Ovis aries: one gene and its partners. The protein of the gene in region 3 interacts with the protein of the main gene of each other region in a biochemical or structural test. Links are inferred from orthologs where the notes say so. Each region holds a gene or a part of one and is shown on either strand. Other genes may lie near its edges.

What was found.
Region 1: of the proteins of ARRB2 (region 3) and USP33, one has a biochemical effect on the other in vitro, tested with the Homo sapiens proteins (2 studies listed by BioGRID, with this or other methods). The link is inferred for Ovis aries from reciprocal best matches to the Homo sapiens genes ARRB2 and USP33.
Region 2: the proteins of ARRB2 (region 3) and CLTC form a complex in vitro, tested with the Homo sapiens proteins (3 studies listed by BioGRID and IntAct, with this or other methods). The link is inferred for Ovis aries from reciprocal best matches to the Homo sapiens genes ARRB2 and CLTC.

The regions. Positions count from the first base shown.
Region 1 is NC_056054.1:54,179,446-54,183,171, reverse strand, and holds part of USP33 (ubiquitin carboxyl-terminal hydrolase 33), read left to right. Parts: intron 1-189; coding exon 190-330; intron 331-1,516; coding exon 1,517-1,632; intron 1,633-2,752; coding exon 2,753-2,925; intron 2,926-3,025; coding exon 3,026-3,120; intron 3,121-3,726. UniProt on the Homo sapiens protein: Deubiquitinating enzyme involved in various processes such as centrosome duplication, cellular migration and beta-2 adrenergic receptor/ADRB2 recycling.
Region 2 is NC_056064.1:10,332,170-10,335,895, forward strand, and holds part of CLTC (clathrin heavy chain 1), read left to right. Parts: intron 1-148; coding exon 149-291; intron 292-2,651; coding exon 2,652-2,886; intron 2,887-3,726. UniProt on the Homo sapiens protein: Clathrin is the major protein of the polyhedral coat of coated pits and vesicles. Two different adapter protein complexes link the clathrin lattice either to the plasma membrane or to the trans-Golgi network.
Region 3 is NC_056064.1:26,521,472-26,525,771, forward strand, and holds the start of ARRB2 (beta-arrestin-2), read right to left. Parts: upstream 2,801-4,300; 5' UTR 2,714-2,800; coding exon 2,691-2,713; exon of another isoform or gene 705-2,690; intron 1-704. UniProt on the Homo sapiens protein: Functions in regulating agonist-mediated G-protein coupled receptor (GPCR) signaling by mediating both receptor desensitization and resensitization processes.

The sequences.
Region 1 (3,726 bases), on a different chromosome or scaffold from region 3:
ATGAACATTAATTGAACTCTTAGGGGGAAAATCACTGTTACTCACTTAGCAAGCATAATGTCTGTTGTGTACTTCACCTGACATTTATTACTGTGAATTGTGTTCAAAATCTCAAATGAAAAAAGCTTTCTTTGACAGGTGGAATAATTTTACTATTTAAGGTAATAATACAAATTTTAAATATTACAGAATATATTACTGATGTCCATTTGAATGACCTGTCTACACCACAGATCCTCCCATCAAATGAAGGTGTTAATCCACGATTATCAGCAAGCCCTCCTAAATCAGGCAATTTGTGGCCAGGATTGCCACCCACACACAAAAAAGGTAGAAGTTTCAGTTACTCAGGTTCCTTTGCTTTGATAGTTTAAAGTGTCAATTATGAAATATTATTCAGGCTTTTTAAAATTGACAGCATCATTTTATACAGCCATGATTTAAAATATTTTTGTGTGTGTGGCACAAATTTATGTATGACAGAGTTTACTCTTTTGGCATAGGGTTCTGAGTTTCAGCGCATGCATAGATTGTTAGAACCACCACCACAAACACAGTGTAGAACAGTTCCAGCTCCCCAAAGAAGTCCCTCATAGTACTGTTTCATCCATAGTACTATTCCATTCCCTCCCAAAGCCCCAGCCCTATCTGTTCTTTATTCCTGTTGTTTTTCCTTTTCCAGAATGTCATATACATGTAATCATAAAGAACATAGTCTTTTGAAATAGGCTGCTTTCACTTAGCTTAATGCATTTGAGATACAGTCACATTACATGTCTGAATAGTCCTTTTTTGTTACTTAATATTTCATTGTGTGACTATGCTGTGTAATACACTGAACTCAGTGAGTGCATATACTCACTGAAGGATATTTGAATTTGTTTCCAGTATTTGGCAGTTACAAATAAATATTTATGTACTAGTTTCTGTATGAACATGAATTGTCACTTGTTCAGGATAAACACCTGGATGTAGGATGATTGGGTTTTATGTTAGTTTTATGCTTAATGTTGCATGAAGTTAAAGAGTCTTTATGACTTTGTGTTAGAATTATTTAAAGACATCAAAGACATAAAAAGCATGATCCATAAATAAAAAAAATTAAAATCTTTTTTGGCAAAATTATTAAGAGAATGAAAAGATTGGGAGAAAATATTTGTAAATCACATAGCTGACAGAGGACTTGTATCTAGAATATATAAAGACCTCTAAAAAACTTAATAGAATCCTTTCTTCAAATAAAGCCTTACTTGGAAGCAACAACAAATAAGTAAAAGCAAAACTGTTTTGGTTGAAGTCAAGATGGGGAGACTGAACCCTTTCTATTTCATCACAGTTTCTCTTTGAGGATTTTTGGTTGTTTTTTGTGTTTTCTTTAGGTAGTGCTCTTGAATGGTATTTTGACAGATTTTTTTCAGCAGAGTAATTTTGCTGTTAATAGTTTCAGAAAAAGTGTAAAGGAACTATTTTGATTTCTAAAAGAAAAAATTATTCTGTACTTGTTTTTCAATCCTAGTTCAATCTGCATTATCTCCAAAGAGAAAAAAACAGCACAAGAAATACCGAAGTGTTATTTCAGACATATTTGATGGAACAATCATTAGTTCAGTTCAGTGTCTCACTTGTGACAGGGTGAGTATGTGAGGATTATAATACACAGGAAATTTCTTTCAAATGCTTTTTAAAAAACTGACAAGATGGTGTGAGTAGTTTTAATTCCTTCTCTTTGCTGTTGATGATTATACATGTATTTCAGGTGTTTGCATAAGTATAAATTGATTCTAAGAGTAGAACTTGTTTTTTGGAAGTAAAGCAGCATACTTTTTTAAGGATGGGTCTTGACTTGCCATTGAACAGGCATACATTAGTAGGAAGAATTAACTCCGTTCTTCGTCTCTGGTCACAAATAAAGGAGTATGTTGCTCAGGAACCAGAATTTGAAACACATGCATATTCTCCCAAGGCTGATGAAATTAGTAGGAAACAGTTGTTACTGACTTGTACAAGGCTATGAATGTATCATCTCACTTGGTTGTATGATTTGTAAATATTTTCTCATGTTAAGATTGGATTCAGATAATAAAAATAGTATCAGGTGTATACAGAAGAGCATAAATTAATATCATCATGAGATTTTTAATAATACCTCTAAATTCCTGAATTTCTTAGAGGTTTTAAGAATGGTTTTGCTTCAGTATAGTGATGAATATAATTAAATGTAAAATGACATATCTCAAAATTAAGAAATAACCCCAAGAAGGTTTTCTGTTATTGTGTTAGAATTAAGTCAAATCTAAGGGTTTTCAATAGTCTATTTTGGTATCAGTCATTTAAATAGAATTATCCTGAAATATTTTCAGCTGTTTAGGTTTTGCATCTTGTTTTTTAAACTACACTGAATAACTATCACTAGAGGTCATTTTCAAAAATAAATGCAGTAGTGATAAACAGTTTGAACCTCAAGCTACAGTGGCTGGGTATGAGGTACTTCTATTTACCACTGTGTTCTCGACTAATGGGGATGTTAGTAGTTATAGTTTGTGTGAAGATTAAATTTAGAACAGTTCTTGGTACAAAGCAGTTTTGCTTTAGTTGTTACTATTTTTGCTTTGTTACTACTATAAAAAGCAGTTTGGTGTTTTGGTTTTTTTCCTTATTATAATTTGCTTGGATCTTTGCCGTCTAAAATCTGTCCTCAGGTGTTTGTGCTGGATTATTTTCATCCCATTCTTAAAACACAAAACAATTTTAGGTGTCTGTAACCCTCGAGACCTTTCAAGATCTGTCCTTGCCGATTCCTGGCAAGGAAGACCTTGCTAAGCTGCATTCATCAAGTCATCCAACATCTATAGTCAAAGCAGGATCATGTGGCGAAGCATATGCTCCACAAGGGTGGATAGCTTTTTTCATGGAGTATGTGAAGAGGTATGTGTGCATTTTCTTTGTTACTAGTTCATTGTTAAAACGCTGTTTCTGCTGTACTGGCAGAACATTTCCTTTCTTTTTTCTGTCAATGATGTTTCAGGTTTGTTGTCTCATGTGTCCCTAGCTGGTTTTGGGGTCCAATAGTAACCTTGCAAGATTGTCTTGCTGCCTTCTTTGCCAGAGATGAACTAAAAGGTAAGAAATACAAAATAGTTTTCATCTATGGTTAAACTGTTGTGAATGAGCTAAAATATTAGTAGGACTAAATATGAAATGTATTCGTAAAAGCTAAATTTGGAGGCAGCTTAAATAGTGCTTGCCCATATTGCCACAGTGCCAGCATCTGTCATGACGACATAAATATTATAAGTAATATCTTGAAATAACTGATACAAACTCCTATAGTACTAGACAATACAATATTTGAAGTGTGTTAAATCTGCTCTGAGATTGAGAAAAGAGAAAATTCAGCCAGTACAAAAGACTGTGAATCTGAATTAGTCTGAATTTCTCGGTAGTGTTTAAATCCAATCCTTCACTATTTTGAGGTGCCAGCACCTTGCTTCAGCATACAATACGCAGTCTGAATTTTGTTGAGTGAATAAAACAGTGTTATTTGAGATGGGCGCAGTGTTATTTGAGATGGGCCTTCTGGGTTGAAAACAAGAGGGAGGTGAAGGGTGTTGTAGGCAAGGTTAATATGCCGACTTAAGCAGAGACTGAAAAGTGCATTACTGTTCTACGGGATCAGCGTGACAAACTCAAAGAACTGCAAAATCAAAAGAAAATAGCTTGCTTTTA
Region 2 (3,726 bases), about 16 Mb from region 3:
ATTTAGAATCTGTTTATTACTGACTTTTAAAACAGGTTGAAGAGGAAAATGCGTTTTTCTTGCTTTTTGCTTTTTTTTTTTTAAGAACTCTTTTCAGTTTTGTTTCTTGGTAACATAATGCCATTCTTTTTTTTTTTTAAAACCATAGGTGAATCCAAGTCGACTGCCGGTGGTTATTGGGGGATTACTTGATGTTGATTGCTCTGAAGATGTCATTAAAAATTTGATTCTTGTTGTAAGAGGTCAATTCTCTACTGATGAGCTTGTTGCTGAAGTTGAAAAAAGAAACAGGTGTAGTACTATTTTAATATTCACAAGTAGGATAAATTATTAGTCTCTCCTAGCATTGTATTAAATAGAAGTATAACCTGTCCGTTGCCTAAAACTACTCAGTACTCATGGATCTTAATTCCCTAGAGATGCCTAATTTAGAAGTGATAAGCTAGCTGTAACTTGCTGTATACGGCTGTCATATAGAATATCTGTTAATCTAGTCATTCACCTTTTTTTGATTAATTAATTTTAATTGGAGGATAATTTCTTTACAATACTGTGGTGGTTTTTGCCATACATCGACATGAATCACCCATGGGTGCACATGTGAGTCCCCTTCCTGAACCCCCCTCCCAACTCCCTCCCCACCTTATCCCTCTGGGTTGTCCCAGAGCATCAGCTTTGAGTGCCCTGCTTCACGCCTTGAACTTGCACTGGTCATCTGTTTTACATACAGTAATACACATGCTTCAGTGCTTTTCTCTCAAGTCTTCCCACCCTTGCATTTTCCCACAGAGTCCAAAAGCCTGTTCCTTACATCTTGTGTCTCTTTTGCCACCTTGCATATAGCATCTTTACCGTCTTTACTGTATTGGTATTTCTCTTTCTGACTTACTTCACTCTGTATGATAGGCTCCAGTTTCATCTACCTCCTTAGAACTGACTCAGATGAATTCTTTTTTAGAGCTGAGTAGTATTCCATTGTGCATATGTACCACAGCTTCCTTATCCATTCATCTGCGTATGGACATCTAGGTGGCTTCCATGTCCTAGCTGTGGTAAACAGTGCTGCAGTGAACATTGGGGTACACGTGTCTCTTTCAGTTCTGGTTTCCTTGATGTGTATGCCCACCAGTGGGATGGCTGGGTCATACGGCAGTTCTGTTTCCACTTTTTTAATGAATCGCCACACTGTTCTCTGTAGTGGCTGTACCACTTGGCATTCCTACCAGCAGTGTAAGAGGGTTCCCTTTTCTCCACACCCTGTCCAGCATTCGTTGTTTGTAGACTTTTTGATGGCGGCCATTCTTATAAATGTGAGATGATGTCTCGCTATGGTTTTGATTTGCATTTCTCTAGTAATGAGTGTTCACCTTCTTTTTGCATGTTTATAATTACATTAAGTCAAACCACACAGCTATGTGTTTTTAATGTAAACTATGTAAAAAGCCTCCTTTTAGGTATGATACCTAGTAACTAATTACTCTCTGGTAAATAATCAAGTATGACAAGAGAAAAACATTCCCTGTATAACTCTGAGTTAAACTTATTTTTAAGTTGAACCTTGATATAATATGAGTTAGGAATTTCCAATAGAAGAGAACATAATATGAGTGCTTCTGATAGTTAGATCATGAAGTCTTTTTTTTAGCCAGGACATTGTGTGTTCACAAAGTGCTGACATAGTAAATGAGGTTAGTGAGAAGTAATGAGGTTAAGTAGGAAGTTCCTCTAGCAATGAAACCATCTCAAGAATAGGGTTTAATTTTAACCTGAGTTGGTACAAGTGTTCTACTAATGGAAATTTATAACATAATTTATATCTAAATGTTTCAAGCTAAATGTTTCAGAAAATGTTTGAAAAATTCTGCACTTAAGGACAATGGAGATGTAGAATATAATACTGAGTTTTATTTTTTTAAAGCTTGAGACTGATTTAAAGTGATTATTGTATAGTTGCTAAGTCGTATCCAACTCTTCTGTGACACCATGGACTATAGCCTACCAGGCGCCTCTTTCCGTGGATTTCTTGTAACTATTTAACATGTTATTTAAACCATGGTAAGAGTGTTGGTCATCTGAACCATTGGAAAATAAGCTATAACTTAGCAAAACCATGGCCCTTGGTGGAGTGATTGATTTTATGACTGCTAGAATTTTACCAGATTTTGTTCCCAGTTATGTGTTTACTTACGTTACTGCTTCTTTTTGCTGTATGTAATGTTGCATGGTAATTGTGGTAAAATTAAAAGGAACCGCAGATAATGTGGCTTGTTTTCTCATACCACATCTCTGTCCTACTCCTAAGCAATATTACTCAGAGGTCCAGCCATTTGCCCCATATGAAAAAGAATAATCTGTGAATCTGTAGTCTCTTCTCTCCATATCCTGTCTAGATAATGTAGCAGATAGGTCTGGGAGAGTATGAAGGACAGTCTTATATACCTTCTGTGTAACATTGGACAAATCCTTTAACCATCTCTGAGTCCTAATTTCTCAGTTTCTGATAGAAATGTTGAGAATTCAAAATAGGGTATGGGAAAGCACTTTATAGACCATAAGGTACATAGCATGTCAAGAGTGTGTTATTTATAATATAGTATATGTATATGTGGGTTTTTTTGTGTGTTTCTTTTCTTGTTTTATTTTTTTACTAGATTGAAACTGCTTCTGCCTTGGCTGGAGGCCAGAATTCATGAGGGCTGTGAAGAGCCTGCTACTCATAATGCATTAGCCAAAATCTACATAGACAGTAATAACAATCCAGAGCGGTTTCTTCGGGAAAATCCTTACTATGACAGTCGTGTTGTTGGAAAGTATTGTGAGAAGAGAGATCCGCATCTGGCCTGTGTTGCTTATGAGCGTGGCCAGTGTGATCTGGAGCTTATCAATGTGAGTACTGCCAGCTGACATATAGAGAAGACAGCATTTTTAAAACCTGTTACATAATGTTAGACTAGTGAATTTTGAGAGTTTCAGAGTGGTTTTAGGTAATATGGAGCATTTTTAGAAGGTACACGCTTTTTTTAAAAAAAACTGCTGATAATTATGAACTTAAACTGGCCAAAGTAGTTGATTACATTTATATTCACCCATTGACATTTACGCCCCGGTTTTATCGCGTATGTTCTCATACACTCATATGTACACATACATGTATATATTTTTTACATATACGTGTATATGTATAGGCACATCTAACCTTTTAACCTTATGAGAATAAGTTGCGTACCTCATGGCTTTATAACCCTTCAGTGAGTATTTCCTAGGAATAAGGGTATTCTCTTTCATGACCACATTATGGATAGCAACCTCAGTCAGTCTGATACTGGTAGAATACTGTTAAAAATCTGTTTCGTTCTGATTTTGTCAATTGACCTGAGAATGTTTTTTAAAAGAAAATTTTCCCTTTAGTCTAGGATTACATACTGCTTGTACGTGTCATATCTTTCATGTCTCTTTTAACCTGAAACACTTCTTCAGCCTTTGTCTTTTAGTGACAGACATAATTGGAAAAATAGTCTTTTTCTCTTTTTTTATTGAAGGTAACATAACATTAGCCATTTGAAAGTGAGTAATTCAGTGGCAGTTAGTACACATACAGTGTTGTGTAACCATTATATCTCTCTTGTTCGGAGTTCTTATTCCAAGTGTTCATCACCACACGAGGAAATCCAGTACTCACTAAGCAGTTGTCCCACATTCCCTACCTCCTTCCAGCCCCTGACAGCC
Region 3 (4,300 bases):
CACAAGAGCTGGAATACTGGAAAGAGCAGTGGCTCTAAATTGGTTTCTATTATGGGAGGTTTCTAAGTGTGACCCTACTCTCCATTAACCTCCAACTGTCCCTGTCTCTGATCTCAGCAGCTTAAAATGTTATTTGTCTTTCAAGGCCCAGCTCAGATGTCACCTCCTTTAGAAAGTAGATCCAGCCCCACTCTAGTCACTCCCTTTTTTGGGGTTTCTGTCACACCTTGTTTATGCTTTACCTGTAGTGTGATAGGGCTTCCCAAGTGGTGCTAGTGGTCAAGAACCCGCCTGCCAATGCAGGAGATGTAAGAGACAAGGGTTCGATCCCTGGGCCGGGAAGATCCCCTGGAGGAGGGCATGGCAACCCATTCCAGTATTCTTGCCTGGAGAATCCCATGGACAGAGGAGCCAGGTGGGCTGCAGTCCATGGGGTCACAAAGAACTGGACTTAGCACACATGTAGTGTGATAATGTGCAGTTAGCTGTGTATCATGTATTTCACTAGACTGTGAGCAACAGAGGCCTTACTGATTCAGGCATCCCCAGCATAGTTGCAGCCATAAGCCAGACGCCGTGATGCTTCCTAACATTTATGGGTGTATGGTTCATGCCCTGTAGTGTGCCAAGTGTTTCAGGTGTGTGACTGCATTTAATGCTCTCAGCAACCCAGTGATGGAGGTCCTAATATTCCTATTTTACAGGTGAGGAAACTGAAGCCCAGGAGAGGTCAAGTATTTTGCCTGAGGTCACGGAGAGTGTAAATGGTGGAATTCGGGTACAGAGGTACTCTGGCTCTTCATCACTAAATGATTGTACTATCCTGCCTCTGTTCTTGGCATTATGTTTGTTGGAGTGAAGGAGATTCCGCTTTCTGGTTGCTGAAATGGTCTAAGCCTGGACTCCACCCACTGCTGGGAGGATAGGGAGATGTCTGGCAACCCCTGTGCCCTGGCCACTTGTGGGCCTGTTCTTTGCTGCCCCACCTTACTCCTACCAATCCACTCTGCCTCAGCAGTGATACCCAGGAAGGGTCCCCAGGTAGTAGAAACTGAAATCCTGCCACCTGGCCCATCCACTGTAACAAAGTCACATGCCCCTTCTTCCCAGAAGGCCAAGCTATCCAAAGACCACAAGGCATAGGGTACAGAGGCCCCCAGGTACCCCCATCGAGGAAAGGAGGGCAGACACTGGTATGGTGGGAACTAGGATAAGCACCCTATCTCTTGTCCCCACCTGGGGGCTGACTGCTGTGGCAGCCTTCAGCTCTCCCTCCCCTTTGCTTCTGGTTTTCCTCTCTGTCCCAGTGTTTCTTCCTATTAGGAGTCCTTGGCAGAGGGTTGGGACAGCCACAGTCTGTTGGACAACTGGAGTGTGGTTCTGGAGTAATTGCCCTGAAGCAGCTGCAGGGCACCTGCCCTTTGGATCCTAACCCAGCCAGCCTCCTGCCTGCTAGGGAGGAGCAAGCATGTGTATAGTGAGGCTGGCCAAGAAGGCGGAGTTTTGGGGTGACCTGAGAGGTGCCGAGTGGGTGAGGGGGCAGCAGAAGCAGATGCCCCTTCACACTTCCTGCTATTCTCTCCATTTCCTGTGGCCCAGAATTTGATGGAGGTGGGAGGAATTGTGCCAAGTCAGCAGTCCCTGTGTGGTCCATCCGTCCCCCTCCCTGAACCACATAACGGAAATCTGGGGCCTCCCTCAAGTCAGCGACTTCCCCTTTTGCTGTGTTTAACCCCTAATCCAGGACACCAGTCCTCCTTCTGATCACCTCTCCAGTATCAATCGACTGGGTGTTCGGGAACCTGTGATTTCCTATTCTATGGGTGGGGAGCTGTGGGGCTGGTAAAATGTTTTGCAGAACAAGTGACAGCTCAGAACCAGGCCCCCATTCCTGATCCTCTCTGGAGAGAAGCAAATAGCCCTAATCTTTTCCCTCTTTTGCTCCTGCTCCCCAGAGACTCAGGCATTCACCCCCGGAGGTGTTGGGTCACAACAGGAAGTGGATTTTGCTAGAGACCAAAAAAGAGAACTCGGGGTGTCAGTGGAAGGAAGGAGCCTCGATTGCACAGAAAACATCCGGGGAGTGGATGGCGTGCCCTGGGCAGATACAGCCTCCCCTCACTCACGGGAAGAGGGATAAGGCCCAGAATTGGGGAGGGTCGTCAAGCACTCTTTGCTCCCCCAAAATGAAGCTGTTGCTCCTAGCAACCCGGGGGAAAGCAGAAGTTTGGAAGCAGAGCCACCCGGCCCTTGGGGCCGGTGGGGGCAGTCTGACTGCCTGTGGGGTACTGGATAGGAGGCTTTCAAGTGGCTGGGCACGAGTCTTCGGGGGATCCCGCCCCTGGCATCTAGTCTGCCCACACCCGTCCCCTCCGGGCCGGCCACCTGCTCCTTCCTCCGCCCCTGCAACGCAGGCTGCACCGGAGAACCCAGTCGTCCGGCCCCCTACATCTCTGCGAGAAGCCCGATGCAGGTTTCTTGATCTTCAGCCCTCGCTTTCTGCAGGGACTGTGGCATGCCTTCCCCTCATTATCCTCGAGGACCTAGGCGTGCGGCCCCGAATGGCTGTCCCCTAGGGACCCAGGCGTCCGGCCCCCGAATTTTCTCCCTGGTGTTCCTGTCTGAGGACCGTCCCGGCACCCGCCCGGTGCCGCCGTCCACGTCCCGCCGAATGGCCCCACCTCTCTTACCTGGTCCCGGGTTTCTCCCCCATGGTGCGCGCGCCCGCCGCCCGCCCGGTTCGCGGATAGCTCACAGCCTCCTAGCCCGCTGCCAGGTCCCTGCTCCTCCCCGCGCCACTGCGCACGCGCGCCCCCGCGCTCTCTCCACTACCCCCGCCTCTCCTTCCCCCCTCCCAACTTGGATCTGGAGAACGGAGTCCAGATGCGTCAGCCGGATTGCGCGCGCCACGGCACTGCCCTCCCTCTCCTTACAGGCACGCGCGGTGATTGGCTCCGCCCGCCCCCTCCGCCCTCCACCCCGACCCCTGCGGAGGGATCCCTCCCCGCGCGCGGTCTCTACACCCTGCTACTCCCGCCCATCTCTCCGCCCCTCCGCACCCGTTTAGGAACTAACTGGGCCCCCTCAAAAGGAGGCGCCCGCCTTCCAGGAGATTAAAGCATTCTGATTGGCTCCCTGCATCAAGCACCCTGCAGGGGTTTCCTCCCCTTTGTTTGCTTTCTCAGTGGCGTTGGAGGCTACGGGGGTGGTGGGGGCAGTGGGTGAGCTCGAACACAGTCTAGGAAGGAGGATAAGGGGATGCACAGGTGGTGAGCGGTTCCAGTTGCGAGATGCTCGCCTATTGCGCGCCGCTCACCCCGGAGCCTGTAGCCGTCTTTGGCCCTCCCTCCCACTTCTTTATTGTGGTGTGTCAGCTCCCTCTGGTGTCTCTCTTTGATCTTCGCAGGGTTACTTCTAAATTCTCTTACTACTCTTCTCCATCCATTCATCGAAGTTAACATCCATTCATGCATACATCCGTCCATACATCTATCCATGTCTATTTTGTGCTAATCACTATACTAGGCAGTGGGAACTCAGACATGAATTAACATCACCCCTGCCTTCCTCGTATGGTTGAGGAGACATATGAAGAGATATTATGATTCCAGGAATGCTATAATAGAGGTATGACTCAGAAGACAAAGTGACTCCCAGAGCTTGGCTGGGGAGGGATGGAGGCAGAGCAGGCTGTCCAGAGGAGGGCACGTTTGAGGATAATCTTTCTGAAGTGTGGGCAGAAGTTAAGAAAGGGTATTCCAAAGACAGAGAAAAGCAAGGCACATCCTATAATGAGGTGTTTGTGGGAGTAGAGGGCAGGAGAGAGAAGGCTGAAGAGGATGACTGGAACAGGGTGTGAAGGATTTTGTATAGCAGGTAAAGGAATGAGGCTTCCCAGGTGATGGAGTGGTAAAGAATCCACTTACCAATGTAGGAGATGTGGGTTCGATCCCTGTGTCGGGAAGATCCCCTGGAGTAGGAAATGACAACCCACTCTGGTATTCTTGCCTGGAAAATCCCATGGACAGAGGAGCCTGGCAGGCTACAGTCCATGAGATCGTAAAAGACTCGGACATGACTGAGCAGGAGCAGCTCAGCAGCTAAAGAAATGAGCCAGGAGCCTCCCCTGGAGGAGGACACGTGGATCCAGTAGTGGATCTGCTCTTTAAGGCAAGGAGTGGAGTGGCATGATGAGACTTCTCCTTTAGGAAGACAATTCTGGGCAGTGTGGAGGGTGAAGGGAGTGGGGCACACTGTCATAGACTGAAACTAATCAAGGAGAGAAGATGAACAATAGAAT